Linked DNA regions of Rhinolophus ferrumequinum. The protein of the gene in region 1 interacts with the protein of each later gene in a pairwise test. Links are inferred from orthologs where the notes say so. Each region holds a gene or a part of one and is shown in the gene's direction. Other genes may lie near its edges.

The links.
Region 2: the proteins of SSX2IP (region 1) and FAM161A interact in binary tests that used the Homo sapiens proteins (3 or more experiments, as listed by UniProt). The two-hybrid records come from large-scale screens. The link is inferred for Rhinolophus ferrumequinum from reciprocal best matches to the Homo sapiens genes SSX2IP and FAM161A.
Region 3: the proteins of SSX2IP (region 1) and CCNH interact in binary tests that used the Homo sapiens proteins (3 or more experiments, as listed by UniProt). The link is inferred for Rhinolophus ferrumequinum from reciprocal best matches to the Homo sapiens genes SSX2IP and CCNH.
Region 4: the proteins of SSX2IP (region 1) and SHFL interact in binary tests that used the Homo sapiens proteins (3 or more experiments, as listed by UniProt). The two-hybrid records come from large-scale screens. The link is inferred for Rhinolophus ferrumequinum from reciprocal best matches to the Homo sapiens genes SSX2IP and SHFL.

What each region holds. Positions count from the first base shown.
Region 1 is NC_046292.1:63,568,971-63,577,197, reverse strand, and holds the start of SSX2IP (afadin- and alpha-actinin-binding protein), read left to right. Parts: upstream 1-5,129; 5' UTR 5,130-5,148; intron 5,149-5,564; exon of another isoform or gene 5,565-5,718; intron 5,719-5,735; exon of another isoform or gene 5,736-5,927; intron 5,928-8,227. UniProt on the Homo sapiens protein: Belongs to an adhesion system, which plays a role in the organization of homotypic, interneuronal and heterotypic cell-cell adherens junctions (AJs).
Region 2 is NC_046296.1:27,369,452-27,377,722, forward strand, and holds the start of FAM161A (protein FAM161A), read left to right. Parts: upstream 1-4,987; 5' UTR 4,988-5,304; coding exon 5,305-5,490; intron 5,491-8,271. UniProt on the Homo sapiens protein: Involved in ciliogenesis.
Region 3 is NC_046290.1:56,803,731-56,811,162, reverse strand, and holds the start of CCNH (cyclin-H), read left to right. Parts: upstream 1-4,077; 5' UTR 4,078-4,217; coding exon 4,218-4,334; intron 4,335-4,621; exon of another isoform or gene 4,622-4,795; intron 4,796-6,978; coding exon 6,979-7,101; intron 7,102-7,432. UniProt on the Homo sapiens protein: Regulates CDK7, the catalytic subunit of the CDK-activating kinase (CAK) enzymatic complex. CAK activates the cyclin-associated kinases CDK1, CDK2, CDK4 and CDK6 by threonine phosphorylation.
Region 4 is NC_046301.1:40,068,732-40,076,480, reverse strand, and holds the start of SHFL (shiftless antiviral inhibitor of ribosomal frameshifting protein), read left to right. Parts: upstream 1-4,417; 5' UTR 4,418-4,722; coding exon 4,723-4,743; intron 4,744-5,194; coding exon 5,195-5,318; intron 5,319-5,501; coding exon 5,502-5,551; intron 5,552-6,969; coding exon 6,970-7,008; intron 7,009-7,178; coding exon 7,179-7,328; intron 7,329-7,749.

The sequences.
Region 1 (8,227 bases):
AATTTGGGGGACAAATGGAGAGTTGAAAACCAAGGTATTAGAGCTTGATAAAATTCATCAGGTGTTCTTACTCAAAAAGAACTCTTTCAAAAGACATCGTAAGGCAAAACACTCAGCAGACCGGACAAAAATCTGAAGCACTAGGAATGGAATACCTAGATGATGACCAGGCATTTGTCTGCTATTCTCCGTGTTTATGTCTGCGGGGGTGAGATAGAGCAAGGTGGGGTGGGGCAGGGTGGGTAATGAGCAAGGATAGTTTTCCTTTCTGAGAATTTTCACCTGGGTGGAGGTGGGAGGAAAAGGGAACAGAAGTGGTCTATTTTTCCTGCAAACTCAGCCAGCACTTTGTAAGGTGGCACAGGACTGTCATTTCAAGTTGGACTACTACGGGCCCAAATCCAAAGGGACTGGCCAGAAGTGAATCATCTTTGGAAATGCAGCATGATGCAGAGATTCACTCCAATAGAGGAGCCAAGCAGAGCTAAGTATAAGGCCACCTTTAGAAATCAGGAAGCAGAGCTGGTGGTCTGGTATTGCTAGGCTTACAAAGTGAAGATTGTCTCAAGACCCTACTCCAGTTCTTTCTTTTCCGTGGGACTTTAGCCCACACGTGGGACTCTGAGATCTTGTAGACTTTGGACGTTGTCCTATACTATTTTCTAGTTAATTACTAACAGCTTTAAATTGATCTTGTGAATGAGGTCATGGATATGAAAATTCCTGGTACAGTACCCACCCTGCCACCCTTGGAAAGATAGTCCTGGTCAGCACACAGAATTAATGGAAGTGGGGCCAGTAAGGAGAGATGACTCAGCCCATCTTCTCATCTGTTATAGCATGCAGGCCCTAATAAGAAATGTTCTCCACTAGATCCAGAAATTGTTGCTACTATTGAAATAATCCAGATGTTATGAATTACAGAAAGCTGTAATTCATAAAAGCTCATTAGTACCCAGATTTGAATATATATGTTAGTAGAAGTTGTGTGGCCTGAATGTTTGCTGGGGTATTTGAAACATTAGTTTCTGAACAACTCATATGAGTAAATAAGGGTAGATTATTAACTGAATACATATTAAAGTATGAGCCTATTTGTTTCAACAAAATTAAAATATTTTAAAATTACAATCATACATACCTGTAAAAATTAATATATAAGTTAATCAAATGTAAAGTGAATGTTCCTTTCCTCCTATCCATCTCCTACCCATTCTCAGTAGTAACAGTTTGGTTAACAACCCTCCAGTGCAGGCATGGAGGGGCTGGGGCTACAAAGGCAAGCGCCACCAACAAAGTCCCTGCCTTCATGAGGCTTATATTCTACTGGGAAGAGACAGACCATACGCAAGCAAACAAATAGATAACTAAAAGCAAGTCTGGGAAGTTTGCTCTATATGTGGAAGTGGGATCCAAATGATGAAAAAGAATCAGTCTTGAACCCTGTGGAAAGAGCCTTCCAGGAAAAAAAGAGAAAAAAAGGGGGGCTGCTATGGCTGGCACTTTGCATGTCCAAGTGCGAGTTCCAGGATGGCGACAGGAGCCAGATCATGTGTGCACAATTTTGTAGGAAGTTCAATTTCATGCTAAATACAATGAGAGGCCATTAAAAGTTCTTAACTGCAGTGGGTTGGGGAAGAGAATCTGATTTTCATTTTTGAAAGACTCTGACATAGTGGTGGCAAGAGTGGAAGTCTGCAGACAGATTGGAAGAGATTCATTCACACATACACACAAATATATATATATATACACACACACACACATATATATATATAATTACTCTTTGAAATTATGTTCAGAGTCAGTTTACTGTCTGTCTTAGGAAATCAAATAACTTGTTTTTTGACCTTTCCCTATCCACCCAAATATAGTCACTTAGTTGGAAAACACACGTTTGACACTTTAACACGGCTCCAGAATGTGTTCATCACATTTGACTCTGCTTTTGGATTGTCTCAAAAAGCAGATTCCTTCTGAAAGGAAGAATTCTTTTCAACAAAGTCAGTAACTACTGAGGTGATAACTTTTGAGTAGCATCATTAAAATATGTATTGAGCCTGCTAAGGTGATTGCTTTGAAATGAAAAACACTTACTTGAAGTTATGTTCATTTATTCACCAAATAATTATTGAGCACCAACCGTTAAGTACCAGGCACCGTTTTAGGCACTGGGATATATCAGTGAATAAGCAAACAAAATCTCTCTCTCTGCTGTGTTTACGTTCTAGTAAATGGAGATGGACTAAACTAACTAACAAACAAACAAAGTAAACTCTGTATTATGGTTGAAGATTATATAAAAACAAGGTAAGAGATTTGGAAAGCTGGATGGGGATTGCAATTTTTAAAACTGTTGTGAGGTTGGGCCTCACAAAGAAGGTGATTTAGGCTAAACTAGAAAGCAGATTGGTAAGTAATATAGATGTGAAGAGGAAGAACATTAAAACAGAGGGAATAGCCAGTGCAAAGTTCCTGAGGCAGGAAAGTGCCTGGCAAGGTTGAGGAACAGTGAGGTGACTAATGGTTAGGTGAGTAGAGGAGAGAGTTGTAGAACATGAGGTCAGAGAGGTGAGGAGATGGAAGGAAACTTCTAACCATGGAAAAAGAATTTTGGCTTTAACAATGAAAGAGGCAAGTCAGGGCAGAGAAGTGACATGATATGAATTATATTTTAAAAGAATTACTGGGACCACTGTGATATAAATAGACTATAAAGGAACAAGGGTGGAAGTTTTGATGTGTTTTAGAAAACAACAACACTTCATAGTCACATTCCCTTAATTGTGCTAAAAGAGGGGAAAGAAGCCAAAGTATAGCATTAAAAAAAAATTCCAGATTGTATCCTTTCCCCTTTATCTTTCCATACCATAGCGAAGTACCATCAAGCCCAATTCCTTTAGCCCTGTGCTAAATGTTTCCTTAGACTATTTTCAGGCTGCAGCCAAATTCTTTACCTTGTCCTATATATCAGTCAGGATCTTCTTGGCTACAAGTAACTGATTACCTGATCATAGTGACTCAAGCAATAGGCTATTTACTAGCTCACATGTGAACAGTCCAGATATACAGAGCCAAGAAAGGTTAATTTAGCCATTCAGGGACGTCTGGGTTCTGGGTTGTCTTTCCTGGTTTGTTTGTTTGTTTGTTTGTTTGTTTGTTTGTTGCTTTTCTCTCATTGTTTCAGGATGTGTCACCACAGCTCCAAACGTTTCATGCTCACTGGGGGATGGCCAAGGTAGGAAGTATGGAAAAGACTTCTTATGGGCTCTCAGGGATAAAACTCTTTCCCTGAAATCCCCCCAACCACCCACTTCCCACTGTGTTCTCAGAATTATGTCACCTGCTCATCTCCTTAACCAGTCATTGACAAAGGAAAAAACCACCTACCAAGACAGGTGTAGACCAGTGGTTCTCAAAGTGTAATCTGAGGAACCGTGGAGGGGGATCCCCAAGACCATCTCAGGGAGTCTGCAAAGTCAAAACAATTTTTATTATAATACTAAAATGTTATTTTTTCCTCCCATTCTCTTAGGAGAGTATAGCGGAGTTTTCCAAAGGCTGAGACAGTGCAACAGACTGAATGCACCAGATAGGAAAATCCAATTGCCTTCCATTAAGCCAGACATTAAAGAAATTTGCACATTTTAAAAGTAATACCATGCTTTACTTTTTTTTGGAAAACATTGTTAGTGTCCATTAAAATGTGCTATTTAAAATGTCGTTTTTACTATTCTTATTTATTATTATTCTTCAAATATTTTTAAATTTCTGTTTTAATTTCTGTTATCATGAACATCAATAGATAATATGAGGATATTTGTTTACGAGGATAAACAAAAGCTCTTTGGGGCCCTCAATAATTTATTCAGACAGCTCTGATTCATCCTTGGAGCTGGGGGCGGGGCCAAAATTTCCTGAGCTCACCTCAGCCTGAACCAGTCTTAAAATCCTACTCTGTAAGTGGTTAGGTCACAACAGGGTATTCTAGATGCTGCTTATTAAATTGATCTCAACTCCTCTAGCTAATCAGAGAGTGAGCTCTTCCTTTTAAACTGGGAAGTGAAATGGTCAAAATGAAGCTTCAGGTGTTATTTCAAAGAAAAACTGGTGCATTAAGTTTCTTCTTAAGATGGGAAGAGGTGTGGGATTTTAGGAGGTGGACAATTGAAATTTCAAAACTCCTCTAGGGAGCAGGGGTTTCATGCTCACTTGATGATGGCCAAGGTAGGAAGTAAGGAAAAGACTTACTCCCACTCCATCATTAGTCTGTGTTGGAAAGTAATGTAATCATTGGTAATAATTGCTTTCTTTCCTCCCCACCAGCCCTGTGCTAATAGCCTCTTTACAATGGTGGGTCCCAACGGTTATTTGGCTGTCATTCATTTAGTCTCAACAGCATCCATTCCGGCCTCCTGATCCTTTAGGCCAAAGGCAAACTGGAGAATTTCGTTGGACTCTGAAATTGTCACCATGGCGTGCTCATTGTCTCGCCTTGATCTTTCATCCAGGATTGGGGATGTGTGCGTGTAAATTGGGAAGAAGGCACTAGTCTCTCCCTTGTTATTCACTGTTAATATTTCTTATTCTGTCTCATATTATTGTGGTATTTTGGTTTCAAAGTGCTCTCAGAAGCCTCCTTAAAACACCAAACCTGTTTTCTCTTGAGTAAATCCCTTGGCTTTACACACCAAAAAAAAAAAATTAAATAAATCATCGAAGTATATCTTTGTGTTTGTAACAACTCATATGCTTGCGATTTCACCATCTGATCTTCCTTTCTTCGGTCTCTTCTCTTCCCAGGAGAATTTTAGGCTTACATGGAACCGGGGAGGAGCCGGCCTGACCCCGGCTACGGTGCGGCAGGCGTACATTTTCTTTTCACATATTTGGTGAGCGGGTGTGGGATATTTTTGCATAAATTTCTTGTTCATTAGTGCCATTTCTTAGTCTTCCGCCTAGGTCGTTTTCTCTGCCCTAATTTTACGTGTAACTTTCTCCCGGTTGGGTCGTTTCATCCACGATTCCCGACGCTTGAACATCGCTTTCCCTGGGCCTGACCTAATTCTGGGTGCCGGCTGTTTGGTTTACTTCTCCACTTTTGCAAGCGCACGTGACTCTTCAGGGAGCTTCACTTTTTCTCCTACGGTGGGTGCTGGGGTTCACTGGCGCTTGGAACACGTGCTTTAATGCAGCCAGGATGCCCTTCCCCCACGGAGTCCGAGGCCCCGAGCTCTGCAGGCGTGAGGAGGGGCAGGGAGCAGAGCCGGGCCGGGTGAATCACAGGGCGTAACAGGTGCCGCAGCCGCAGCTGCGCCCGCATCTTGCTGGGCTCCAGGGATAAGGTTTTCTTTTTCTCCGAGTTTTTTTTTTTTTTTTTGTGGAGGTGGGGAGGAGGCTCCCGAGGCCCCCACCGAACCAATGCAGGCCGCGGTTGTTCATCGCTTAGCAACTGGCGGAGCCAATGGGAGGCGGCCGGGCCTGCGACGCGGGGGCGGGGTGGGAACCTTGCGAACCTGTGGAGGCGGGGAGGAGGCCGCGCGGGGCGGAGCGGAGCCCGGCTGGGGGCGGAGAAGGCGGGAGCCGGAGGCGGAGGCGGGGCCGCCGGCCCGGGGGCGCTTCTTGCAGCCGAGCTTGTGCCGGCCCTCCGGGCTGAGCGAACCGGTCGGTCTTGGACTCCTAGTGGTGCCTGCCCGCCTCTCCCGGGAACCGTGACGGGTGAGAGCCTGACCCCGCGGCAGGGATTATGACGCGCCCGCCTCACGGGCGACGGCGCCGGCGGGTGGTAGACGCCGGGGAAGGGCGGGAAGGCAGGCGCGGAGGTGAGCGCCGGCACCTAGCTCGGCGCGGCCGTTGGGGCCGTTGGTGGAGGCGGACAAGCGGTTACCCCCTCTCGCCTCGGCGGTGCCGGGAGGAGGAGGTGGGAGGTAGGTGCCAGTTCGGGGACCACTCCTGCTGGTGATCGCAGTGCTCTGCCCTCGGGAGGGCTCCGGCCCTTAGAGCCCCAAACCCTCTCCAGGATGGAGAGAGGGTGGCGCCTGGCGTGGGATGACGAGCGAGGCGGGGACGTGGGGGTGGAGGGGATGGCCAATTTGGGGCTGCGGTGTCTCAGCAGAGGCTGCGGGGCGTGCGGGCTTCGGGATTTGTTAGCTCCAGCCGCAAGAGGCAGTCGTTAGAATGAGTTACTGGGTGGCCCGTGGCCGCTGCAGTGGAAGAGAATCCCAGTGGTAGTTAAAACGTCTAGGGGAAGAACTTACATCATCTAAGAGGCAGGCATGTGTGAGAACATTTTGGTGTAGAATTTTATAGTAACGTAGAGAAAACTAAATTACGAGCTCCCTGTCCTCTTTTGAGCCTATGGTGGTCGTCCAGTTATGCAAGTCACTTGGGCCCAGGAAATGGAATCTGCTAGATAATTCGTTCTCAGCATGTGTAATACGGGAATCTTTAGATTATTGCCCCACTTCAGGGTCCGTAGTTATGATTGCCAAATTATCATTACTTGCAACGCTGATACTGTTCTTGTTGGATCTGAGCGAATTGAGGTTTCCCTTTTCTGGACCCCATAATGGGGTGAGGATTGGCAGAGGCACTCCTCCGAGGGTGGTTCACAAGTGTAAGAGGGGACTTCCTGGAATTTGACATTGCTGGGCTCCCCTAACAGGTCAGATTGGAGGCTAGGCCTAGAGATGGCTGTGAATGATGGGTGCCTTGGAACCCTTCACGACTCAGGAGAGATTGATATACTCTTTAAATAGAAGAAAATTCTGGCAGCCTTGATCCTGATCTGGAAAGGTAGGTATGACTTAACACATTTAGGAGACCGAACAGAATTTGAAAAGAATTAGAGATCTGAAGAGAGAAAAAAATGCCTTTAGACTTAAAGTTTAGATCAAGCTATCTTGACATTTAGAAGTTGAGCTTGGATTTTGTCAGCAAAACTTAAACTGCAGGCCTAGGAAGCTTAGGTTATTCATTCATATTAAATAAGTAAAAGCTAATAACTAATTTGACACTATTCTGCCTGCTGTCAGTGAAAGTTTCTCAAAATGGTTCTTTGAAAACGGGATGAAGGAACTGATAGTTAAAATGAAGGCTCTTTTAGTGACTTGCTGGGTCCTTTCAGCCAAGTAATTTTATACCCTTCCTTTCCTTCTCTTTCCCCATGTGTACAATGAAGATAATAAAGCCCTAGGATTAAGTATCATGAGTGAAGCAGCTTGAAGATAACTGCAAGGAGTTAGTTATTCTAAGATGAAATGTGAAGCTCTCCTCATAACACATTGCGCCTTGTGACAAGACTTAATATGCCAAAGCATAATATGTTCCAAACCTGCTGAGGTGTTAAAAGAAAAAACTAAAACGTTAACTGTTCAGATGATTTGCCAAAGGCCTCAAGGCCAACACAAGATTAGGCCCATCCAAAAATCTGACACAGCTGCTCTTTGACAAAGCTGGCTATGACACAGGTTTTATAAAAGGAGACGTTTGAGTGTCTTGTATGTAATATGCATCTAGAGATAAAAAGATACTGCCCCAGAATTGTGTGATTTTAATACATTTCACATGCTTAAATTGGAGCAATTCCAAAGCTTTTTAAGTGATGTTTTCTCATATCATGTACTAGTAGTTGTGAATATGACTTACAGGTTGGACCAGATCACGGAGAGGTTTTGGTACTCTGTGGGTCTGTTTCGTGTCTGTTGATGGTGATCGTGATTAGCTGGTAATGAAGGTACAAGTTATCTTGAATTCACGAATTTATAGGGTGAGATAGAAAAGTGCACCATTGTTGATAATGGAAGACTACCTAAAATCTTTACTTTTGATAGTGGGTCAATACTATATAGTACCAGCAGACTTACTGAATTATGGTTTGTTTTTTTTGTGTTTTTTTGCGGGGGAGGGGAACAGGACTTTATTGGGGAACAGTGTGTACTTCCAGGACTTTTTCCAAGTCAAGTTGTTGTCCTTTCAGTCTTAGTTGTGGAGGGCGCAGGTCCAGTTGCCGTTGTTAGTTGCAGGGGGCGCAGTCCACCATCCCTTGGGGGAGTCGAACCCGCAACCTTGTGGTTGAGAGGACACGCTCCAACCAACTGAGCCATCTGGCACTGGCCAGATGTGGGAATCGAACCGGCAGCCTTCCACATTAGGAGCATGGAGCTCCAACTGCCTGAGCCACCGGACCAGTCCCTGAATTAAGTTTTAATAATTTATTCTTTCAAGA
Region 2 (8,271 bases), on another chromosome or scaffold:
TAAAAAGCAACCCACAGAAAGAGGAAATATTTCCAAGTCCCATATCTTATAAGGGGTTAAAATCCAGAATATATAAAGGACTAAAACCCAACAATTAAAAAACTCAATTCAAAAATGGGCAAAGCACTTGAAGAGACACTTCTCCAAAGCAGAAATACAACTAATAAGCACATGAAAAGATGCTTGACATTGCTAAAAGGGAAATACAAATCAAAACTACATTGAAATCACCTCACCCAGTAGGATGGCCACTGCCTAAAAAAACAAGTATTGTCGAGAATATAAAGAAAGTGGATCCCTTGTACACTGTCAGGAATGTAAAATGGTACAGTTGCTGTTGAAAACAGTATGGCAGTTCCTCAAAAAATTAAAAATAATTACCAAATCCAGTAATTCCACTTCTGGGTATGTACCCAAAAGAATTGAAAGCAGGGTGTCAGACATACTGTACACCCATGTTTGTAGTAGCATTGGTCACAATAGCTAAAACATGGAAGCAACCAAAGTGTCCACTGATGGATGAATGGATAAGCAAAATGTATGTATGTATATATATACAGTTGAATATTCAGCCTTAAAAAGGAAGGAAATTTTGACATGCTACAACATGGATGAACCTTGAGGACATTATGCTGAGTGAAATAAGCCAGTCACAAAAAGACATACTGTATGATTCCACTTACATGAGAAAGTCAAAAATCATAGAAATAGAATGATGGTTGCACGGGCTGGAAGAAGGGGAGAATGGATAGTTATTGTTTCAAGGATATGGAATTTCAGTTTTACAAGATGAGAAGTTCTGGAGATGGACAGTGGTAGTGGTTGCACAACAATGAATATTTGATACCACTGAACTGTATATTTAAAAATGGTTAAGACAGATTTTATGTGTACTTTATCACAAAAGAAACAAATTAGAAAAAAGTTATTGGTCATGCAAAGAAGCAGGAAACTATGACCAATAATAGAGAAAACCAAGAGAAACAAACCTAAAAATGACAAATGAATTATCAGACCTTAAAACAGCTTTTATAAATCTTCCATAAGTGCTCAAGGATGTAAAAGAAAATATGAACATGATGAGAGAAGTGGAAGATATAAAAGAGACCCAAATGAAATATCTAAAAATGAAAATTTCATTATCATTTAGAAAAGTACTCTGAGTAGGATTCATATCAGGTTAGACATTACCAAAGAAAAAGACAGCAAACTTGAAGAGAGGACCTTAGAAACTATCCAAAATAAAGCACAAAAAGAAATGGGATTGGTTTTGTGAATTGATTTTGTATCCAAAAACCTTGTTAAACTCTATTACTCTAATAATTTACCTCTATTTTTTGGGGAGATCTACACAAGCAATCTGTGAACATTTGAGAGTTTTTTCTCCCTCTCCAATCCTTATACCTTCCCCCCGCCCCTTTCCTTTCTTTCTGGCTAGCACCTAGAGTACAATGCAGAATAGAAATGACCAGTGAGTGTGGTGGTCAACCTCCCAGGTAGCACCAAATAATTCCTGCCTCCTTGTATCACACTCTTAGTAGTCCCTGTCCCACATTGTACCAGGATTTGGTGACAGCATATGATCAATAGCATAAAGCAGAAGTGACAGTATGTGACTTTAAAGATTAAATTATAAAACACTGCCTTCTGTCTTGGACACTCTGGCTTTCCCTCTCTCCTGAATCATTTGCTCTAAGAGGAACAAGCTGCTACGGTGTGAGAAGATCTATGGAGAGGACTTTGGCCAATAGTTACCTAGGAACTGAGTGAGGTCTGTCAACAACCACATGTTGACTAACGAAGCTCATTAGCTTGGAAGTGGATTCTCCATTCTCAGTTGAGCCTTGAGAAGATCATAGCCCTAACCAATGGCTTGACTCAACCTTGTGAGATACCCTGATCCTGAACAATTCAACTAAACTCCCCTAAATTTCTGACTCTCAGAAACTATGTGGAGTAATGTGTATTGTTTTAGGGTAGTACATTACATAGCAGTAGATAACTAATATAGTGGGCATCTTCGTTTTGCCCATTTTTTTACTGTTAAGATGTTTGCTATTTTGTTTAAATTTTATTTTTGTTTATTGTTAGATGTCCTTTATCAGGTTAAGGAAATTTCCTTTTATTCCTAGTTAAGTTTTTGTTTTAATCATGTATGAATGTCAATTTTTATCAAATACATTTTCTGTATTTGTTGAGATAATTCTATGATTTTTCTGCTTATATTAGTCTTTTTCAAAGAATGAATTTTAGCTTCATTTTGCTCTATTGGAGGAGTGGGGGAGATGCTTCCCCACTGCTCACACTACAAACCAGCAAACAAAGGCTTGGGAAGAAGGGCTCAAATCTTCTTTATTGCACATTTCTTTAATTTCTTCCATTTATCTAATTTCTGTGCTTATTTCCTTCTACTTTCTTTGAGTATGTCTGTACTTCCTCCCCCCCCCTCTTTCTTTTTTTTTTTTTTTGTTATTAGGTTGGATTATTCTCCCCCACCTCTTCGCTTTCTAAAGTATCAGACTATATCTTGGCCTGAAGACTTTCCTACTCCCTTTTTCTTTCACAGAAATTTCCCCCAATAAATCTCTTACACTTCTCCTTCAACAACCCAAAGGACCATCAACTGGTGAATGGATAAACTTAAGAAAGTGATAAAAACAATGTAAATACTGCATATTAAGAGTATGCCTGTCTGTAACTGTCACATTATGAGCAGGACCAAAAAAAAAAAAGGAAAATTTTTCCAGTGTTGGAAAACTATTCTCTCTTTCAGCAAAGAATACTACTCAGCAATTAAAAAGGAACAGACTACTCATGGATATATTCAACATGGATGAATCTTACAAAAAACAAACAAACAGTATGCTGAGCAAAAGAAGCTGGGAGCAAAAAGAATACATATTGTATGGTTCCATTTATATGAAGTCCTAGAACAGTCAAGGGGATGGAATGGGGAATAGATGGCAAAAGGGCATAAAGGATCTTTCTGGGATAATAGAAATGTTTGTATTTTAAGGGTATGATTTCATGAGTGTATGCATTTGTCAAATTTTATCCAACTATACATTTAAGATCTACTCATACTCATTTCACTGTGTTACATCTCAATACAAAAGTGCAAAAACAAGTTGGTTAGAGTGCAGGGCTCATAACACCAAGGTCAGCGGTTTAATTCCCACATGGGCCAGTGAGCTGCGCCCTCCCCAACTAGATTGAAAACAACAACTTGACTTGCAGCTGATAGGTCCTGGAAAAACACTGTTCCCCAATATTCCCCAATAAAAATGAAAACAAAAAAGTGCAAAAACAATTCTTCTTATGATGATTTAAGATGTCATTTTCTTCTTGTAGTTCTGTCCTGTAGGGACAGCTAGGAGTGCAATTCCCAGGCTTTCGGCCTTACGTGGAAAGGTGCTGGCTCAGGTAGTAAATGGCCATCAACTGTGATTGGATGGCCATCAGCTGTGGCTAGTTGGCTGTTAGCTGTACCCAGTGAACCACTGGCCACTAATATAACTGCTGTGCCTACACTAGCAGCAAATGGGGGATAGCAAGAAGACAGTGGCAGAGCTAGTAAGCACGGATTGCAGTTAGCAAGGGGGGGTTGGTTGGTTAGCAGAGAAGTGGACGGAAGGTTGCAGATCGTGTGGATCCTGTTTCCTGTGTCTCCAACCCAGCTGCCAGCGAGAATATAGTGGTATGACTCCACTATCTATGGCTCCTTTTTGGCCTCACCATATCCTGCATTCTTATGTGGCGAGCGGTACCAGGGACCCCACATGCCACCTTGCATGACATGTCCACTTCTGCTTTATATGCTTTGAAGCTATGTTATTAGGTATATATAAATTTAGAATATTGCTGGTGAATGGAAACTTATGAGCTCTTCTACATACATACACAACATGTTCTATTCTATTCCTATCTAATCCTATTCTTGCCTATCCTTGCCTAGTCTTTTGTAGTGCTTCAACATGTAGACACATCTTGCTGTTTTGGGGTCGGGCTTATACCAAATCCCAAGACAGGCACATGCAGCCACAGAACCAGCTGCATGTGAATGACTGGAAGTCCCCACTATGGTCACTTGGGGCATCCATACCTCATGTGCTTTCAACTCTGGCTTCTGCTCCGAATTGAGCCAGTATTTGTTCAGTGTGAGAAGCACACTTCAGCTCAAACCAAGGGCAGCTTAAGGAGGTGGGGGAGTGGGGGGGATTTTGCAGGTGCTCACACACCAGACCTGTGAACAAGAAAGGCTTGGTAAGAAGGGCTCAGATCTCAGAGTTGAGTTCTAGACAGCACATGCTGCACACTAACTTTATGGTGGTGATGGTCCATGGCCGGTTATGGAGCTGGAGGCAGGAGGAGGCTGGAGAACAGAGAGGGAAAGTTACAACAGCCTCAGCCTCAGGAAGTGGGGGCTTAGGTAGCAGGTGGCTGAGGCTGCACCATGTCTGCTATTTTCAGGCTAGGCCTCTCTTAACAGCCACGTGGCTTAGAAGGGAGGTGCCGTTTGAAGCGCCCAAATCTCCAGTGGGAAATGTTAATGGGATGAGATGGAGATGTGGTGTGTCTCTGGTTACTGTTGGGAGCTCGCGACCTCCACCACCACTATAAAGTTATTTAAACCAAGCAGCGAACACCTACATTGTCACTCACTGGTGGGTGGGCTAGGCCCCACCCAACTCTGGGCTTTTATTGGTCAGACCAAGAAAAATCGCGTACCTCGCAGCCTTCTTTGGATTGGTCGATTTCTGGTAGCTCTCAAGTCAATCAAAGTAAAATACCGCACTCTTTTCCATTCTCTGACTCCATGTTAGGGAAGCCATGTTAGGTAGCAGGATGCAAACCTTGCCACTGTTCTGAGACCCCACACAATAATATCCCCTGCTTTCCTCTAACGCCGCCGTCTTCTTTTAACATGTTAGTTCAATGAATGAAAAGGCGCTGTTTTCTTTATTTACAAAACGAGTTGTTTTATTAGTATAATGTGAGAAGTCTGCGTTTAGGCGGTGAGGCGCGAAGCTGGGGAAGCGATGCCCTGTTCTGCCTGCCAACCCTCCAATAAACCAGCAGAGACTCAGTTCTAACTCCCATCATCCAGGAAGCGCCCGCCTTGAAACTCCTGCAGCGTGCGAGGATTTTCAGTAACTTTTGGCCCCTCGCGGCCCTTGTAGCGTCCCTAGTTACCGTGCCCCTAGTAACCGCCCACTCCAAGCAGGGAGTCGCCAGGTAGCTAGAGGCCGCGCCAGCTTCCCAGCCCCGGCTCGGCGCGGGCGCTCAGGCCTCGGCGGCGAGCTGATGGCCGCCTCGCACCCAGCGGCGGAGCTGGAGTCTTCCAGTCTCCAAACCCCGGTAAATCCCAACACCTGGGTGCGGGTGGCCCAGTACCAACGCGAAGACCCGTTAGAGGCTCTGGCGGCAGCGGCCTTGGAGGAGGAGAAACAGGAAGAGCGGGAGGAGGCGGTGCGGCCGGCGCGGGCGCTGGTAATGTAGGGGCGGGACGTGGGCTAGGGTTGGGCGCTGGCTGGGTGCAGGCCGGTCGACCTCCCCGCTGGGCTGAGCGACGTGCTGGGAAACGCGGCGCCCTGCCCAGATCCTCCCTATCCGGTTATCCTGGCACAGCACCTTCTTTCTGGCCCCATGAAAACCCCTCAAAACCGGGCGAGGCGTTGAAAAGTCTTCTAATTTTCACCAAAGAGACTGTTGTAAAAATTTCTTAGCGTTTACTTCACTCTGTTTAGACTAGAGTGCAAAGTACAGAACCTTAGTCCTTATTCTCCAGCATCTATCAGAAGTAGATATTCCCTTTAATTTTTGACTCGGGGAAGACTGATCTACCCCCATAGAGGATAATCTATAAAACTCAGGCGAATCAACTGTACTGTCAGAAGTGTGTTTTGTTGTCACCTTAAGATCTTGGTTATTAGTGCATCTTAACTCGATACATAAGAGGCGATATTTAAAACCATCAAATGTTCAGTGGATACATCAGACACAGATATAGTAGTTAAGCATCCAGAGAAGCAAATTACTGAAGACCCAGTATTTCCTAAATGCCTTTTCAGGTTGGCTTGAGACAGCCTTTTCACTGATACTTTTCAGTGTCATGTGTGTCCTGAACACCTGTCCACCAGGTAGAGGGCCAAGACTGCCATCTGTGCTATTCCCTTAAAATATAGAAACATTGAATTTTAACTATCTACCTGCAGCTATAAATCTCCAGTTAAAGATTCTTAATACTATTTGCCCAAGCCTCTCAGATACAAAACATTATGGTCTACAGGGCTAATAGAAATCAGTAGATATTTTGGAATTCTAATCTCTTTAAACTATACTAAAACCGTTAATCAGAAAATCTGTAGCAACACCTTTTATGGTCAGCATTTCACCAACAGATGTAAATTATTAGAGGTTATCCAGAGTAAGGCTTATTCAGACCCTGAACATGAACCAGAGTGAGTCTAAGGGCCAGTTTCATTCATGATAAAGTTTTCCTTCAACACAACTTTAGTAGCCAAGAAAGGAGACAAAGTGATGGAGGAAAAAAATTTGAATGGAGTATTTGGAGTCCTGATTATATGACCCATTCTCTGCTATTTGCTAGATGACATTAAGATGTAATTTCCTTCAATCTCTGTTTCTGTATCTGTAAAAGAACTATAATAATTGTCTCTCTTTCTTGCCTCACTGGGATATTATGAGAACCAAATGAGAGAATGTGTGTCGTATCTAAATAACAGTTTGTATAAATTAGTAATAATAATAACTACTGCCAGTGAGACTGTCATTTGAACAACCTGCCCAAAGATTAAATTCTATTTTGGATTGCTGTGGTAGAGGAGTCAGTTATTTCTATAGTTGCAGTATACTTCCATAATGCCTTATCAAACTGCAAATTTGTATTAGAAACTTAATTACTTTCAGAGAGATTAGTTTCAAAGGGACAGAATCCTACACCTCCCTCCCCCCAAAAAAGGAAGTTAAGTCTTATCAATTTGACACTGTTTGTGACCACTACACTTGAAGGACCCAAAAGCAAACCTGGACAATCTGCTCCTTATTGCCTGATAACCAGAGGATACTGGGGTGGGGAAAAAAGCACTGAAAAGGCAGGAAAGAGAGTGCGGGAGCCAAGCTGGCTTGGGTCTGCACCTTGATTTTTAAAGGTTAATTTGGCTCAACTTTGTCATCTATAAAATGTAGTAAACTCAGATACCATAGCCATCACACAAGATTGATTAGAGAACCAACTGTCATAGTAGGCCTCTTCCGTTTGCCAAAGCCCCCCTACCCCTTGCAAGACTGCCCATACTGGGCACTGAGGCATGTTCCTTGAACCTAGCCTCAGCTGGAGATATCAGTTCATAGGCTTTGTTACATGGTTGATGATGACACAGGTATAGCAGTTAAAATTTCCACAGTTAAAATTTCACTGAGTTTCCTAATGGGGTCTCTCTCTCTCTCTTTTTCAAAATCAAATATTGAGCATTTATTAAAATTAAATATTGAGCTAGTCACTGACTCTTCAGTGGTGAATGAAGCAAACATAGCTCTCATCATTGCAGAGCTTCCAGTCTGGTGGGGAGGCTACATAATAAAGAAAAATGAACAATGAACATAAGATGGGAAATTTTGGAAAAGAAATTAACAGGTTACTATGATTTTTAAAAGAAGTAGGAGGGAACCTATTTAAATGAGTTAACATTTAGGTCAATGTCTGATAAATGAAAAAAAGTAGCCATTTGAAGAGTAGGGGTGGGAAAAACATTCCAGGCAGAGGGAACAGCATATGCAGAGGCCGTGAGATAGGAAAAGCTTTGTATGATTAAGGATCTGAAAGAAAACCAACAAGACTGGGAAAGAGTGAGGGGAAGAAAGGGAGAGGGGAAGAGAGTAGGTTGGCGAGGTCAGCAGGGCCTGCTCGTTCAGGGCCTTATTTGACCAAGTAAGGAGTTGAGTGTTTATTGTAGGTGGGTGGTCCTTGAAGACTTTTAAGAGATCTGACATATTCCTAGTTATATTTTTAAAATATGACTCTGTGGCTTTGTGGAGAATGATTGGTGGGCTTGACAAAGCAGAAGTAAGAAGATGGTTAGGAGGCTGTTGCAGTAATTCAGGTGTTATAGGTAGTGGCATGGACTTAGAGTCTACGGAAGATGGCAAAAAGTGGACAGATTTCTCTAGAATGGATAGGAATCACTGTTAAAGATTGGACGTGAAAGCAAAGGAAGACGAAGAAATGAAGAATGCTCATTCCCAGGTTTC
Region 3 (7,432 bases), on another chromosome or scaffold:
TGTTCCCATCACCATCACCACCACCATCTAACAATTAGTACTAAGCCTTGAGTATAGTGGTGATTTAGTAAGATATGCTGAAATGGTCACGAATTTATAGAATTCACTCCTCACTATGTTGTCAAGTCTATTTACACCTTAATTTTAAATAGTCCTAAAACAAAAGAAAAAGTGTTTCAGTTTTGGGAGGTTACATTTAGATCAAGGATATTTTTTAAATGCTGTTTCTTTTTTTCTTTTCTTTTCCTTTAGTAGTACCCTGTTTTGGAGAAACTAGATATTTTCTCCTCTTAGTCCTAACTTGGTCACTGGGAAAAAACAAACAAACTAGAAAAGGATTTTAGAGGCAAGTGTATATATCAAATAGAACTGCAAAAGTCTTGTTTTTACATATCATTGCAAAGCTATATTTAGAATGTCAGAAACCCATGTCAGTAGCTGAAGGGGTACAGTTTCATGTCAGATTTTAAAGTAAGAAAGACATTGTATTTTTGTGAGCATGGATGTGGCTTTATTCCAAAACACCATTCTATTTTCCTTGTAGCCATGAAATCAGAAACTATGTGAATATGAGTATACTGATATGTTTGGAAAATAAAGACTATAAATTAATCAGGCCACTTAAAATATTTTATTAGACTGCAAAACTATTTCAAGTTGCACATATATTTATTGGTTACTCCCTCACCCTTCTTATTCCCTTTCTACCTTTACTCCTAAAATCAGGCAGTCTTATCTTTATTTTTCTAAAACATTAAGATCACTAGGGCAGAGCCTGAAGAAGGAATATTGTCCTAAAGGAAGAGAGAAATTTATGTTTTCTACACTGGAGTAAACTTTCATTTTTTAAATTAAATTTATTAGAGTGACATTGATTAGTAAAATTTTATAGGTTTCAAGTGTACATTTCTATACTACATCATCCATATACTGCATTGTGTGGTCACCACCCAGAATCAGTTCTCCTTATATTTTACCCTCTTTACCTCATCTACCACCCCCCTTCCCCTTTATCCTCTGGGAACCACTAAACTGTTGTCAGTGTCCATGAGTTTTTGTTTCTTTGTTTGTTTGTCTTGTTAGTTTTTTGCTTTCAGTGTTATGTACCACATATGAGTGAAGTCATATGGTTCTCGACTTTTTCTGTCTGAATTATTTCACTTAACATGATAAATTCAAGAGAGAGGAATTCTTAATACTCTCATGGGAAGCTTTGGCATGGTATATGGATAAGTATAGTGCTTCTGGGGTGATCAACAGATGACCTCTGCTTTGCATCGCTTGATCTGATTGGCAACCTCTGGTTTTGACGTAATGTCTGCAATTAAAAATACTTAGTTTGTTATAAAAATACATACTGCAACACAATTTAACAACTGCAGTACACTAAAAGATTGTGTTTATTTAAAAGAAGGCACTGTAATCATGCCTATTAGTTAACATTCACTTCTGGGTAAAGCCCAATGAATTAGTACTATCTTTGTTTTCAAATTTTGAATGTTTGTACTGCTCTTCTAGGAAGTATAGATTCTGTCTATTTTGTTTTTTATTGTTTGAAACATCTCCATCTAGCAGCAGAGATTGTGATTTAAAAGTCATGGGGACGTCGGGGAGTGGAGGATAATTATTGAAATACATTTTTCTCTATTCTCAATGTTTGAATTTTTTTATAAACACGTAAGAGTGGAGAGAAACACTTGCTACTTTTTAGTTGGAACTAGAAATGGAAATAGGTAAAGGCACCATGTTCTAAGTCCAAGTTCTAAGTCTGCCTTCCGGTTGAAATAGTACAAGAAATAAACATGCTCAACAAGCTGAACAGGGGAATGTCATTCAGGCAGACTGACTGGTGCAGCATCCAGCCTGGCTCACCTTAAGAAAAAGAAATCATATATGAGTCCTAATATTAGGGCATCAGCAACAACTTTATTTTGTCCATGGTTAATTTAGGTACAATTTCTTCTACATTCCAAAAGCATGGTCAAGGTTAATTTTCATAGACTAAAATTTTTTAAAGATTTTATAAAATAGTTACACCAGAAACACCAGGTTTTTCATATTTGTCTTCCTAAATGAATTATGACATTCAGCAGTTATACTCTTATCCCTGTGGTAATCATTTTCTGCCACCTCTCCCAAATGCCCCTTTTTATTTCCCTTTACATGAAACTGAAGTAGTTGTCAAATGCCTCTCAGAAAAACAAAATAAAAAGAATTGACATGGTATATAGAATTGACAGGGGTCTAAGACTTTATTCATTTATCTAAATCATTTCCTTTCCTGCCTACCTTTCATTTTCTCCTTTTAAATTATTCTTCGTTATACAATCATTTATGGTGCTCACAATCCACTGGAGTCATAACTTGCCATGTCCCTCCTTAACATTAAGTTGATGTAAGCGAAGCCATTTTAAAATAGAGCTATTATAGCCACTCCAAGGAACTGCCTTGCATGTGTTTTCCTCAAACATTTGGAATGGGAAAAATAATCCTTGGACTGGGCAAAGCCAACATTGTATTCCAAACAGTTTGTAAAAATAACAAGTAAGCAGACATTCTGACTACAAGGACTGAAAATTAAGGGCAGTCTGTAGAATTAGCACAACCATGTATAGCTAAAAATTAGCTTACTAACATCAACAGAAATTCCTTTCTTCTATTCATGTAATTATTTCCCTTCCCTTTCTCATAAAACCCCTGCCTTCCCCCCAAAATCAGAACACTTTCTGAGTTTCTGCCTGAATCACTGCTTTCCTAATAGCTATTCTTTGATCTCAAAAAAATGCTTGTTGCCTTTCACTTTGGCTTTTTATTTCCCAGGTTAACAACCTCATATTTTTTTCTTTCTCTTTTTCTCTTTTCTCTTAGCCAATTTAACTAGTCTGAATTACTGACACATGTTCAAGGAGTGCCTGGATCTCCAGAGTTATAAACTACAAATGATGTAAGTTTGTGCAATTCAAATAACTCTGGCAAAGTCTACTTACCCTCAACTGTACTCGCCAAAATGAAACAAAAAAGAAGAAAAAGCTCTCCCTTTCTTAAGCAGCTAAAAACATTTTCACAGAAAGCAGAGTTAGAGATATCCTATCACCTATTTTTAACTGTGTGGTCTTTTGAATATCTGAACTCTTTGTGTCTCATCTTCATTACCTGATTTTTTATCTGTTGGTGTTTAGAAAAATGATTTGCTGTAGGTAAATCTATCTAACCCAATGTATGATGCATAGGAGAACGTGGTGTGCTTAAATGGGACAGATATCAAAACTAGTAAAGGCTTTTGGAATTCATGTAAATTCTGTATCTCAAATGCAATTTTGAAAGTATTAGTAACAAAAAAATTGTGAATCTTTTAAGTATTAACAGATAGTTTATTGCAAGTTTCCCTTGGGGCAATAATGAAGATGAGGATTTCAAGAAAATCCTAAAACTACCATACGTCATGGCCTCGGAGATGGAAATGGGGGAAAGGATTGGCAGAATCCAATCCAATTGAGCAGAAGAGGAAAGGAAAAGGCACAGAAAAAGATAGGGTCACATTATTGGCAGAGCAATAAAGAACAATACACATGCACTGCTTCTAGTTTTCCAACCATGTTCTGTTATCTCTGAGGCAGAGATTTTTGGTAGTGCTCCAGACACATTCTTTCTTCAAAGAGCCAGGAATACTTCTGCCTTAGGGCCTTCACTGTTCTTTTTGCCCCAGCATCACTCCCACGTGACTGATATGCCTAATCCCTCAACTCTTTCAAGTCTTTATTCCATGTCACCTTCTTAGTGTAGCCTACTCTGAATATCCTATTTAAAAAAGGTGACACCCTCCTAAGTCCTTGCCCCCTCTTCTGATTACCCCGTGTGAATTATGTTAGCCTGCACATACCCTCAATTTACATTCCTTTGGCCATCTCAGCCTGTCACTTCTCCTTTAAGCTTTGTAGGAAAGGGGCGGAGCTAGAGCCAGGGCTCGCAGAAAGGCGGAGCATATCCGTACGCTCCGGCCACTTAGGGAGCAGGCGGCGGCTAAATCAGCGCTAGAGAGGTTCTCCGCTCCGGAAACGCGATCGCCGACGAAGTCACCACGTGATTGTGACGTCAGCGCACCCGCGCCTGACGGCCTGACGCCCTGCGCTGTCGTGGTTTAGCTGCTTTACACCACGGTGTGGTGGCGTTTGGGGTCTTTTTCTCCAGACTTCCTGGGCCTGGTCTCGGACTTAAGGATGTACCACAACAGTAGCCAGAAGCGGCACTGGACTTTCGCCAGTGAGGAGCAGCTGGCACGATTGCGGGCTGACGCCAACCGCAAATTCAAATGCAAAGCGGTGGCGAACGGGAAGGTGAGGACACGGGTGGCCGCCCCGCTGCCCGGACCTCCTAACTCTTGAACAACTGCGGGATCTAGTGCCCCCGCCCCCGGGGCTCTCTGGACACCTCCCCTTCTCCTCCCTCCGGAGCGCACGTTCATTTGTTTAATAAACAGGCGAACACCTTGTCAGGTGCTGTGGGTACAGAGGCGGACAACACCATTTCCGTAGTTGAGTGGCAGGCAAATAACCAGTAATATGGCGTAGGAGACTTTGTAGGATGTCCGTGTAGTGCGGAACCAGAGCCGTTCACTTGTCAAAAGGAGACCTCCGGGAGGGCTTTTCCCAGTAGCTGATGCGAAGCAAATGGGGAAAGAACATTCCCGGAGGACGGAACCACAGGTGCAAAGTGGGAAGTTGTAGGGCGGGTTCCTGGAATGCTCTAGATCGTTTGTAGTGGTAGCAGAGCACCTGTGCAAGACAGGCTGGAAAAGGTAGGCGGGGAGCTTGTAAGCGAAAGTAAGGAATTTGAACTTGATGAAGGGATGGGGAACCTTTGAAAGATTTTAAATGGGAAATTAACTTTACAGATGCTGTTCTAGAAAGAGCCCTCTGGCATCCTGGTGGTGAATGGATTGGATGGGGCAGGGTGGGGGCGGGGAGACAAGACACCGTTTGCACAAACCAGTTGATTGAAGATGGTTTGGATTATGGCCTGCCCGCCAAGTTCTCCCTGTTACAGCTACCAACCACCTTTCCCTCACAAGCTCCAACACCCATCCTAGTAACTGCAAGCTTCCCTCCAGCAAGTATTCCATGTCTAAGATTGTTGGGACTGAGGTACTGTACTTTTAAGTCACAGCTATTTCATATCACTTTATTTTTGTGCTGCATGCCAGGCACTATTCTAAGCATTTGGCAAGTGTTAGATCTTTTAATTTTCACAGCTACTGAGGTAAAGACTGTTATTATCCTCACTTCCTAGCTGAAGAAACAGGTACAGAGAGCAATAACTAATCAAGGCTACATTGGTAGTAAGTGGCAGAGACAGGATTTGAACCCAAGGAAGGAATCTAGTTCCAGCATTCCTGCTCTAAACCGCAATGCCATATTGTCTATAAAATTAGCACCTGTGTTAGTTTCCTAGGGCTGCCATAAAAATACTACCACAAACTGTGGTGTAAAACAAGAGAAATGTATTTTTTCACAGTTCTGGAGGCTAGTGAGATCAAGGTTGGCAGGTAGTTGCTCTCTGAAGCTTGTAGGGGTGGATCCTTCCTTTCCTCATACAGCTTCTAGGAACCCCAGGTGTTCCTTTAATTGTGGCAGCATAACTCCAATCTCTACCTCCATCTTTACATAGTGTTCTTCCTGTGTTTCTGTATCTTCACATGTTCTTATACGGATACTAGTCATATTGGATTAGGAACCAACTCTACTCTAGTACATCTGATTACATCTACAGTGTGGGGACAGAGTCCCAGAGAGCAGTTTCCAGGCTCTCGGCCTCACGTGGAAAGGTGCTGGCTCGGGTTGTAGATGGCCGTCAGCTGTGACTAGTTGGCCATCAGCTGTTATCAGTTAGCCAATTAGCCACTGATATAACTGCTGTGGCTAGGTTGGTTCGTTGGTTGGCAGGCAGAAAAGTGGACGGCGGATTGTGGATTGTGTGGATCCTACTTCGTGAGTCTCGCCTGGCTGCCAGAGAGACTGGGGTGCAGGGAGTCCCTTTGTTGGGGTACTGGCGGATGTTTGCTCCCTGTGTCTCCAACCCAGCCGCCAGAGAGAATATAGTGGTATGACTCCCCTATCTATGGCTCCATGGATGTTACTTTTTGGCCTCACGTTTTTTTGTGGGGAGCAGGACCAGAGACCCTGCATGACACCCCACGTGACAGACCGTATTTCCAAATAAGGTCACATTCTGAGGTCACATACAAACATACCTCATTTTATTGAACTTGGCTTTATTGTGCTTCACAGATGTGTTTGTTTTTTTTCTTCACTAACTGAAGGCAAACCCTCCACCAGCAAAATGATCACTATTTGCTTTATTGTGGAGGTCTGGTAACTGAACCTACATTATTTCTGAGGTGTGCCTCTACTGGGGGTTTAGGACATCAATATATCCTATTTTGGTAATTGTAATTAAACTAGTAACAGCATCTAATGGATATTTTTTGTAAAGTTGTATTTATTAACCATCTAGAATGCATTCTGTAGAGAATTTACAAAGGTGGATAAGAAGTAATGTTTTCAGGGTCAGAATTATCCTTGCAATACTTGTTGATTCTTACCTCAACCTGTGTGACTTAATAACTGACTGAGAAAGAAGTCTTGAAAACTTTCCAAATATGAACCACGTATATCTTCTTTTTGATTTCTAAATAATGACATCAAACCTGTAAGCATAGGCATACATTCCATCATGATTGCTTATACCTTAATGAAGCAAATACCCAATTGACATTCTGAGAAATTGTGAAATTATGGTATAATTTTAGGTTATTAAATTTTTTCCTAAAGCCATTTTGTGTAATAATGAACAATTCTATAAAGTGGAAATGAGTTGTGGTATATTTCCCTTTGGCTGGAGATATTAATAGAAACTAATCTGGACAGAAAAATATTTTAAGATTCAATTGACTGAACTTTTGGTGTAACTTTTAATCTAAAGGTTCTTCACAATGATCCAGTCTTTCTTGAGCCTCATGAAGAAATGACACTCTGCAAATACTATGAGAAAAGATTATTGGAATTTTGTTCAGTGTTTAAACCAGCAATGCCAAGGTCTGTTGTGGTAAGTTATGGTAGTGATGGAGTATAATGTCCTTTAACTGACTTCTGAAATCTGACCTCTTCCAAGTTAGTAACTCAGTCCTCTATCCACTTTATTAAAAATGAATGTGGGGACGGAGTCCCAGACAGCAGTTTCCAGGCTCTCGGCCTCACGTGGAAAGGTGCTGGCTCGGGTAGTAAGATGGCCATCAGCTGTAATCAGATTGCCATTCGCTGTGGCTGGGTGGCCATCAGCTGTTACCGGTTAGCTATTAGCCACTGATATAAGTGCCGTGGCTAAGCTAGCAAGCATGGATTGCAATTAGCAAGGGGTTGGTTGGCAGAGAAGCAGA
Region 4 (7,749 bases), on another chromosome or scaffold:
CAAACTATTATCACTTCAACATGTAATGAATATAAAAAGTCATTGATGTGTTGTTTTACATAAGTCTTCCAAATCCAGTGTGCATCTGACACTGGCAGCACATCTGGATTAGGACCTGCGATGTTTCAAGGGCTCAAATGCCATATGTGGCCAGTGACTACCCTGTCAGACAGTGCAGGTCTAAATGGTTTATCTATATTAACTCATGGAACTCCCACAACAATTCTATTCCCATTTCAGAGATGGTGAAACTGAGGCCCAGAAAGGTCAAGAAATTGCTCAAAGAGCTAGCAACTGACTCAAACCCAGACTGTCTGGCTCCAAAATGCATCCCTTGACCTCTGTACTTCTTGTCCTCAGTTCTGGCTTGAAGGAGCATTGTGGACAGCTGGCCTAGGTTCAAGCTCAGGCTATGCTATGCCACTTATTAGCTGGGTGTCCTGCATGATCTGCTTAATCTCTCTGAAACTCAGATTCTTCATCTGAGAACGGGACAGTGTTATCTAAGCCAAAAGGCTGAGGGATGACTTGTAGCCTCAAGCCCAGAGGACATACCACAGAAAGCCTGGCACCCAGCGAGCCTTGGACACACTCAGAGTATTTCAGCCACTGAGATTTCTCCACTCACCGAATTCATTTGAGCAGGACCCCAACTTTTGCACGTAATGCATTACTGGAAATGTGTTTGAAACTGATTTCGCAAAACTCTAACAACAGATTTCTGTGTTGTAAAGGACATTCTATTCACTGAAGACTATACAAATTATGAAATCCCAAATTATGTCTCTCCAGTTAGGTGTCATTGTCAAAGATATATTTCCAGAGTTTCATACATATTATTTTGTAAAGTAATTGAATTTGTTTTACTGTGTATATTTTGGTTCTGATTACAAAAGCAATGCCAAAAAAATGCAATTGTTAGAGAAATAAGCAATGTGGGAAGTAAAGGTGGTGTGGAAATGCACATGCAGAAATGCCCACAAATGGTTTGTGTGTGCCCAGGGAGGAGTAGTGCCCCCAGGGTCACGAGGCCCCAGATGTCAAAGCGTCAGAATACACAAAATGAAAGAAATGGTTAATTCAGCATTGTTAATGCTTTAGAAGGTTTTGCCAAATTGCCCTCTCCAAAGATTCTACCAAGGGACACCCTCTCCAACAGTTTGGAGAGTTCCCATTTCCCCACACCTCCAATTCTGGGCATTGCCAACGTTCTTCATTTGGTTAAACTGAGGGAAAAATTTACTCGATTGCACAAAGCACACACATGCTCCAATTGTGTCCACTTCCTCCACAATTAAACATATGGTCACCAGCTTAAGCTTCAAAGGGTCCAGCTGAAAGCCAAGATTTGCTGCTTTTTTTTTCTGGGTGGTGAACACACAATGTGATATATAGATGATGTATTACAGAATTGTACACCTGAAACCTATGTGACTTTACTAACCATTGTCACCCCAATAAAGTTTAATTAAAAATATATATATTTGCTGCTTTTGGCACAAGCTTCACCCCCTTCCACTTTCCCTGCTTCTCACTAAGCCCAGCCACACTGACCTTTAGCTTTCTCAATGGACCAAGCGCCTTCCTATCTCAGGGCCTTTGCACATGCTGCTCCCTCTGCTCTGCATCTCTTCACCTAAGTAACTCCTAAGTAACTCACCCCTTGAGGAGATTCTTGCAGTCAGGAAAAAAAACTGTTTTCCCATTTATAATACTACTACCTGCTTCATAGGTTGCTATGAGGATCAAATGAGATACGTAGTTTAAAATTCCCATTAAAACCATTACTCTGGAAGGGCAGAAATGGTCCCCAGCACTATGCTTGCTGCCAAAAAGGCACCTGATGCATGTTTGTCAAATTAATGAATGGATGGATCAAATGGGCTCCATCTTTGACTCAATTATACTAAAGTGTCAGAGGCTACATTTCTTATCACTGTTATCAGTACATCCATTGTCTCCCTTTCCACACCTTTTTATAAAGACAAAGGATAAAATGCAGGAATGCTCACACCACTGCACAAACAAGTTACATCTGGCCAGGCTAAGATGGCTGCAAATCTCAAACAGAACTGCTGGTGGATAGGGAGCAGCCCCATGTGATCGCTGGGAATGTTTATTTTTCTGTTCATGTACAATGCCAACATTCAATACTCCGGTTTGATCTTCTGTTTGTCCTCCCCTATTAATTCTCACCCTTCTCTCCCCAGCTCTATTCCCTGAGAGGCTGATAACAAGACCTGCTCCCTTGCCCTCCTTGCCTTCTGTTGCAGCCAATGAGAGACTCCAGCGGGAGATGGGAGAGTGGGAGGAGAGAGAGGGTGGAGTCTTCATTCCCCGTCCCTGACCTGGGCTGGATCTAGTGACATGCAGGAGGTAGCAGCAGAAGTGATGCAATGTGACTTCCAAAGCTGGGTCACAAAATGATACAACTTCCACCCGGCTTTCCTTCTCTTGGATCACTTGCTCTGGGGAGGCCAGCTGCCAAGCTGGGAGTACATCTCCACTAAGGAGGAGCTGAGGCATTTCACAAATAGCCAACACCCACCTGCCAGCCATGTAAGTGAGCCACCTCAGAAACAGATAGACCCTGAGCCAGAAAACCCCAGCGAAGCCACTCCTGGATTCCTGACCCACAAAAACTATATGAAATAATAAGTTTGGGGCTAATTTGTTACACAGCAATAGAGAAATACTACAACTACTAACAGTCCTCCCATGCTCCCACCTCAGGACCTTTGCACTTGCTGTTCATTCTGCCTGGAACTCTTCTCCCACCTCCTTCAGGTTTCCCCTCAGATGTCACTTCCCACTGCTTTCCCTGATCCCCCTTTCTCTATCCCCCTATCTCAGTTCATATTTCACCCTAGCACTTATTATTTCCTGTCCTATTATATATTTGTTTCTTGTCTGTCTCCCCCACTATAATGGCAGCTCTACATTCTGGGGATCTTTGTTTTGTTCAATGCCTGGCACAGTGTAAGCATTCAATATGGTGGCCATTATTATAAGAATCTAGCAGTCTTGATTCTTGTCATAGCTGGATCAGTCTCCCACCTGTTTCCTGCCCACTCGGTGTCCACCCTGGCCAGGGGATGGGACATAGCTGTGACCTTCCCCTCCACTGGGTAAGTAGTAATTGGCAGCTGTAAAGGGAAAGCCCCCCAGGCCTTCCCACTTCCCTCAGGACAAAATCCCAGGTCGTCTGTGCAGACTTCGGGCCCCCATCCCTGTCTGAAATTCCACCATTCAGCCACAAAGAACCATGAACTGTTTACATTCGCTAAGAGAGCAGTCTCTAGACCTACAAAGCTTTGGGGTTCAAGTAGAAAACATCAGCGCACCTATTTTTTATCTCCATTTTTTGTTTGCTAAAGAATATGTAATAATATATTATTATAAAATAATCTACAGAATCCATTGGTATAACTGTATTTCTACATAATTTATAAGTAAATATCCATCTGGGGGTAGAGCTTCAACATTCTGACTGATGGAGGTGCATAATTGGGAAAACAATTTAGAGTCATTATCCTAATGCAATTTTGCCCCCCAGAGGACATCTGGCAATGTCTGGAGACATTTTCAGTTGTCACAACTGGTGTGTGTGGGGTGCCACCGGCATCCAGTGGGCGGAGGACAGGGAGGGAAGCTGCTCAACATCCTACAATGCACAGCACGGAGCCCACCACAAAGAACTCCCCAGCCCGAAATGGCAGCCGTGAGGAGGCTGAGAAACGTCAGACTCTCTTGCTTCTGGGGTCTTTTCACCAGCTGCTTCCTTCTCCCCACTCTGTGCTTCATCTAGCTAAGACCTCAAACTCCAAGGACTATACGAGCCGTTCCTTTCTCCAAGAAACCATCCCTGAAATCTCCGGGCTGGGCCAGAGCCCCTCCAGCCCCCTGTGCTGGGTGGGTTAGAATCGTCGTGGACGTCGGGGTTCTCAACCTTTGGATTTACAATACAGATTCCCTGGAACCGCTGACGGCCGGACCAGGAACCTGTATTTTTAACAAGCACCCCCATCCCCCCACTGCCTGTCCCTTTGGACGGGCACCGAGTAGCTGGCCCGACTAGTTTGCATGCCAAGAGCTACTAAGCGTTCTATCCGGGGTCTGGAATCCTGGCGCGCACGCGTACACACACCCCCAGAATGTAGTCACTTATCACCCCCATTTTATAGAGGAGTAAACTGAGGTTCAGAGAGGGGATGTGGCCGGGTAAGAGGCTCAGAGTCAGGAAGGTGCCCAGGTCTTAATTAGCGCCTGATTTCTGGGTGAGGAGAGAAGGCGATGAACTAGGGGAGCGCGAGCTGCGGCGGGGGTAGCAGATTCGAAGGGGGAGCCCGAGATTCGCAGCGGCCTTCCGATGCGGCCCCGCCCCCACGAGGGACGTGAAGACGCGGACCCCGCGCAGCGTGGGGACATGTGACCGACTGCAGAGGCCGCGCCGCCTCTCCTGGCGGAGGTCTGCGCGCTCAGCCGCAGAGTGCGGACCCCGGGAGCCCTCCTCGGTTTGGGGCACAAGAGCAGAGGCGGAGCCAGGGTGGAGCTAGCGCTTCCCTGCAATCGAAAGCGAAAGAGGGGGCCGGGAAGGAAGGGAGGAGCCGGCCCGGAGCCCCGCCCCCTGCCCTGCGCGCGGCTGGACCGCGGGGCGCGCCCAGGTAGGGGGACTCCGAGCGCGCAGTGCGGACCCTCGCGGGGACCTGCGTGACTGCCACCATGTCTCAAGAAGGTGTGGAGGTAGGAGATGGCTACGGCTGGGCCAGGGCCCTCAAGAGACGCCGGGAAGGGCCGGGGCCGCAGAGGGGGCTTCGCAGTTCCTTGGGACTCCATCCGTAGCCCAGACCTTCCTCCTTGTCTGCCCCCCCCCAGAAAGGAGAGTGACCGCCACCTCCTCTTGAGCGAAATGCGGCCCCCTGGGCGAAAAGCAGGGGCTGCAGGGTCAAGGGTCAGAGGCCAGGGGTTACCTGGCCGGCCTCCTCCCGAGCCTAGGACGCTCGCCCCAGTCCGCACCCTCCCCCAATGCCCGGTGGGGACTTTGGCTTTTCCAGGAAATACCATGGAGGGATGGGGGTGGGGGATGCGGAGGCCAAAACCAAGGGTCAAGTTCAGGCCCAGAGAAGGATGCCTAGAAATAGGGAGGGGCAATCTCTCTTCTTCCCCTTTCCGAGCCTCGCTGTCCCCATCCCAGCTGGAGAAGAGCGTCCGGCGCCTCCGGGAGAAGTTTTATGGGAAGGTCTCCAACAGGAAGGCGGGGACTCTGATGAGGAAATTTGACAGCGACCACACCGGAGTGGGCCGCTCCATCGTGTACGGTGAGCGGGCAGGGTTCCCGGGACTGGTGGGTGTTCCGCGCGGGGGAGCTCGGTCTGTTCGGAGGGTAGGAAGAGGAGTTGAGATCATCTCTTGGGGATGGTCTGTATTGGGGCTCCGGAGACCCTGAAACTCCCACAAGATCCTTCAAGGGCCCTTCACTTACACTTAACTCTCCCCACCAGGGGTAAAGCAGAAAGATGGACAGGAACTGAGTAATGACCTGGATGCCCAGGTAAACTGCCCCCCTACGCTCAAAGGACAGGGTAACTGGGGAGGGAGAACACAGGGAACCCTGCCCATCCTTGGTGAGCCCCACTCAGTGCACTGCCAGTCTACAACTCATGGTCCAACCACATCTACTTATTCACAGAAGGGCTGTGTGTCCTGCCAGGGAGCCTGCAAACAGTAGGTGTTCATTCCATGCTAATGGTATTAAATGGGGGAGAGAGACATGAAACTAGTTAGTGACGCTAGCCAGGATTTAAGTCATCACATAGGAGCCCTAGAGGTCAGGGAAGGCTTTCTGGAGGATGTGGTGTCAACTGATCAAGGCTGAAAAAGAGTGATCCCTGGGAATGGAGGGGTCGGAAATAGTCTTCTTGGAAGAGGGAATAGTGTGAGCAAAGGAACATACAGACAGGCTGGGATGAACAGGAGATGGGGAACCGGAGAGAGGGGGTAGGGGGCTCCTGTTGAATGAATGAATGAATGAATGAATGAATGAATGAATGAATGCTTTAAAGCACAGATACATCATGGCCACTTTGCCCTTTAGATGGCTTTGGTGGCGGATGCACTGTGGATTTTGCCTGCCTGAAAGACCAGTATAGAGTTGTTAAAGAGTATAATAAAGTATGTATCATACTCTTTATATTTATACATTGACATTTATACCTATAAAGAGTATGATAAAAAATAAAGAGTAGCATTTAGCATTGATTGAGCACTTTCCTTGCTGCAGGATTCCAGGAATTTTACCTGTTGATTCATTTCATCACCAAAGCGACCCCATGAGACAGGTCCTATTATTTATTACCAGGTTTTATGGATGAGGAAACAGACAGTGATGAAGTCACTGGCCAGGATTATGCAGCATGCAGGTGGCAGCTGGGATTTGAACCCGAGCCACTCAGAGTCAGAGACTGGGCTCTGAGATGCCCTTCATTAAGGACCCAGGGGGAGTAGCTTGGCCACACTGCCACAGCTAGAAGTAATGGAGAGTTGGGGATCGAACCTGCATCTATCTGAACTCAGAGACTGAACACTTAGCCTAAAGCAGCATGGCCTCAAAGAGGCAACTAACTCATCCCAATGCCAACAAATGTGTGGTATTTAACCAGCAGTAAGGGAGCATGGGGTCCAGGCCTGCTCTGATCTCAGGCAAGCCCTCTCCTGGCTCTGGGCCTCAGTTTCCCCATCTGAGTAATGGGGATAACAGGTGTGCCCACCTCTCAGGACTGTTATAAGGGTAACAGAGGTCATGTACCTGGTCTCAGTAAGAGCGCTGCCAATCAGCTCCTTGTGAGTTAGGAACACCCTACTCTTATATGGGGCTGGGAGGGTCCCATCCAGGAGCCCGGCCGCCAACAAACAAGGTGAAAAGAGGCCTGAGCTGAATCCCCAGCCTCTGCCCCTGGTGTCTCCACCCAGGATCCACCAGAGGACATGAAGCAGGACCAGGATATCCAGGTGAGTCCAGGTGGGAATGGGGGAGGTGGAACAGGGAGGACATCCATGGGAGAGAGTGAGGTCATTGTGGAGGAGGGGGTGCATCTGCTAGGAGAGGAGGGCTGAGACTTGTTTGTGTTGGTGGAGGAAGGCCGACCACCCTCTAGTGCTCACCCCGCCTCATTTCACAGGCAGTAGCAACCTCCCTCCTGCCTCTGACAGAAGCCAACCTACGCATGTTCCAACGTGCCCAGGAAGACCTCATCCCTGCTGTGGACCGGCAGTTTGCCTGCTCCTCCTGTGACCATGTCTGGTGGCGCCGTGTACCCCAGCGGAAGGAGGTGATAACCCAGTCCAACCTTGACTCTGTCCTGAACTCCACTCCCAACCCCCATCTTCAATGTCTGACCTTCTGACCTAAGAACATCAGCCTCTGAGAGCTCAACCTCGATCTCAGACCCCAACCCCCAACCCTGAGCTGGACTTCTGACCTTCAACTTGAGGAGTTCAGCCCTTACCCCGGAACCTGACCTCTGACTCCACAGTTTGACAGCTACCATAGCAATCAAATCTGACCCTGAAACCACAACCCCAATTCTGGTATCTAAACCCCCTTAACCAATGGTGTGCTTGTGCTTCTGGTCAATGCTTTAACAGTCTGCTCATGGGTGGGAGGAGGGGGGCTTGGGGGTCCCCGGATTTCTAGTGTTTACCAATTTCTGTGGTATAAATGTTCCCACTGTGGCCAGTATCGAGCTAGCA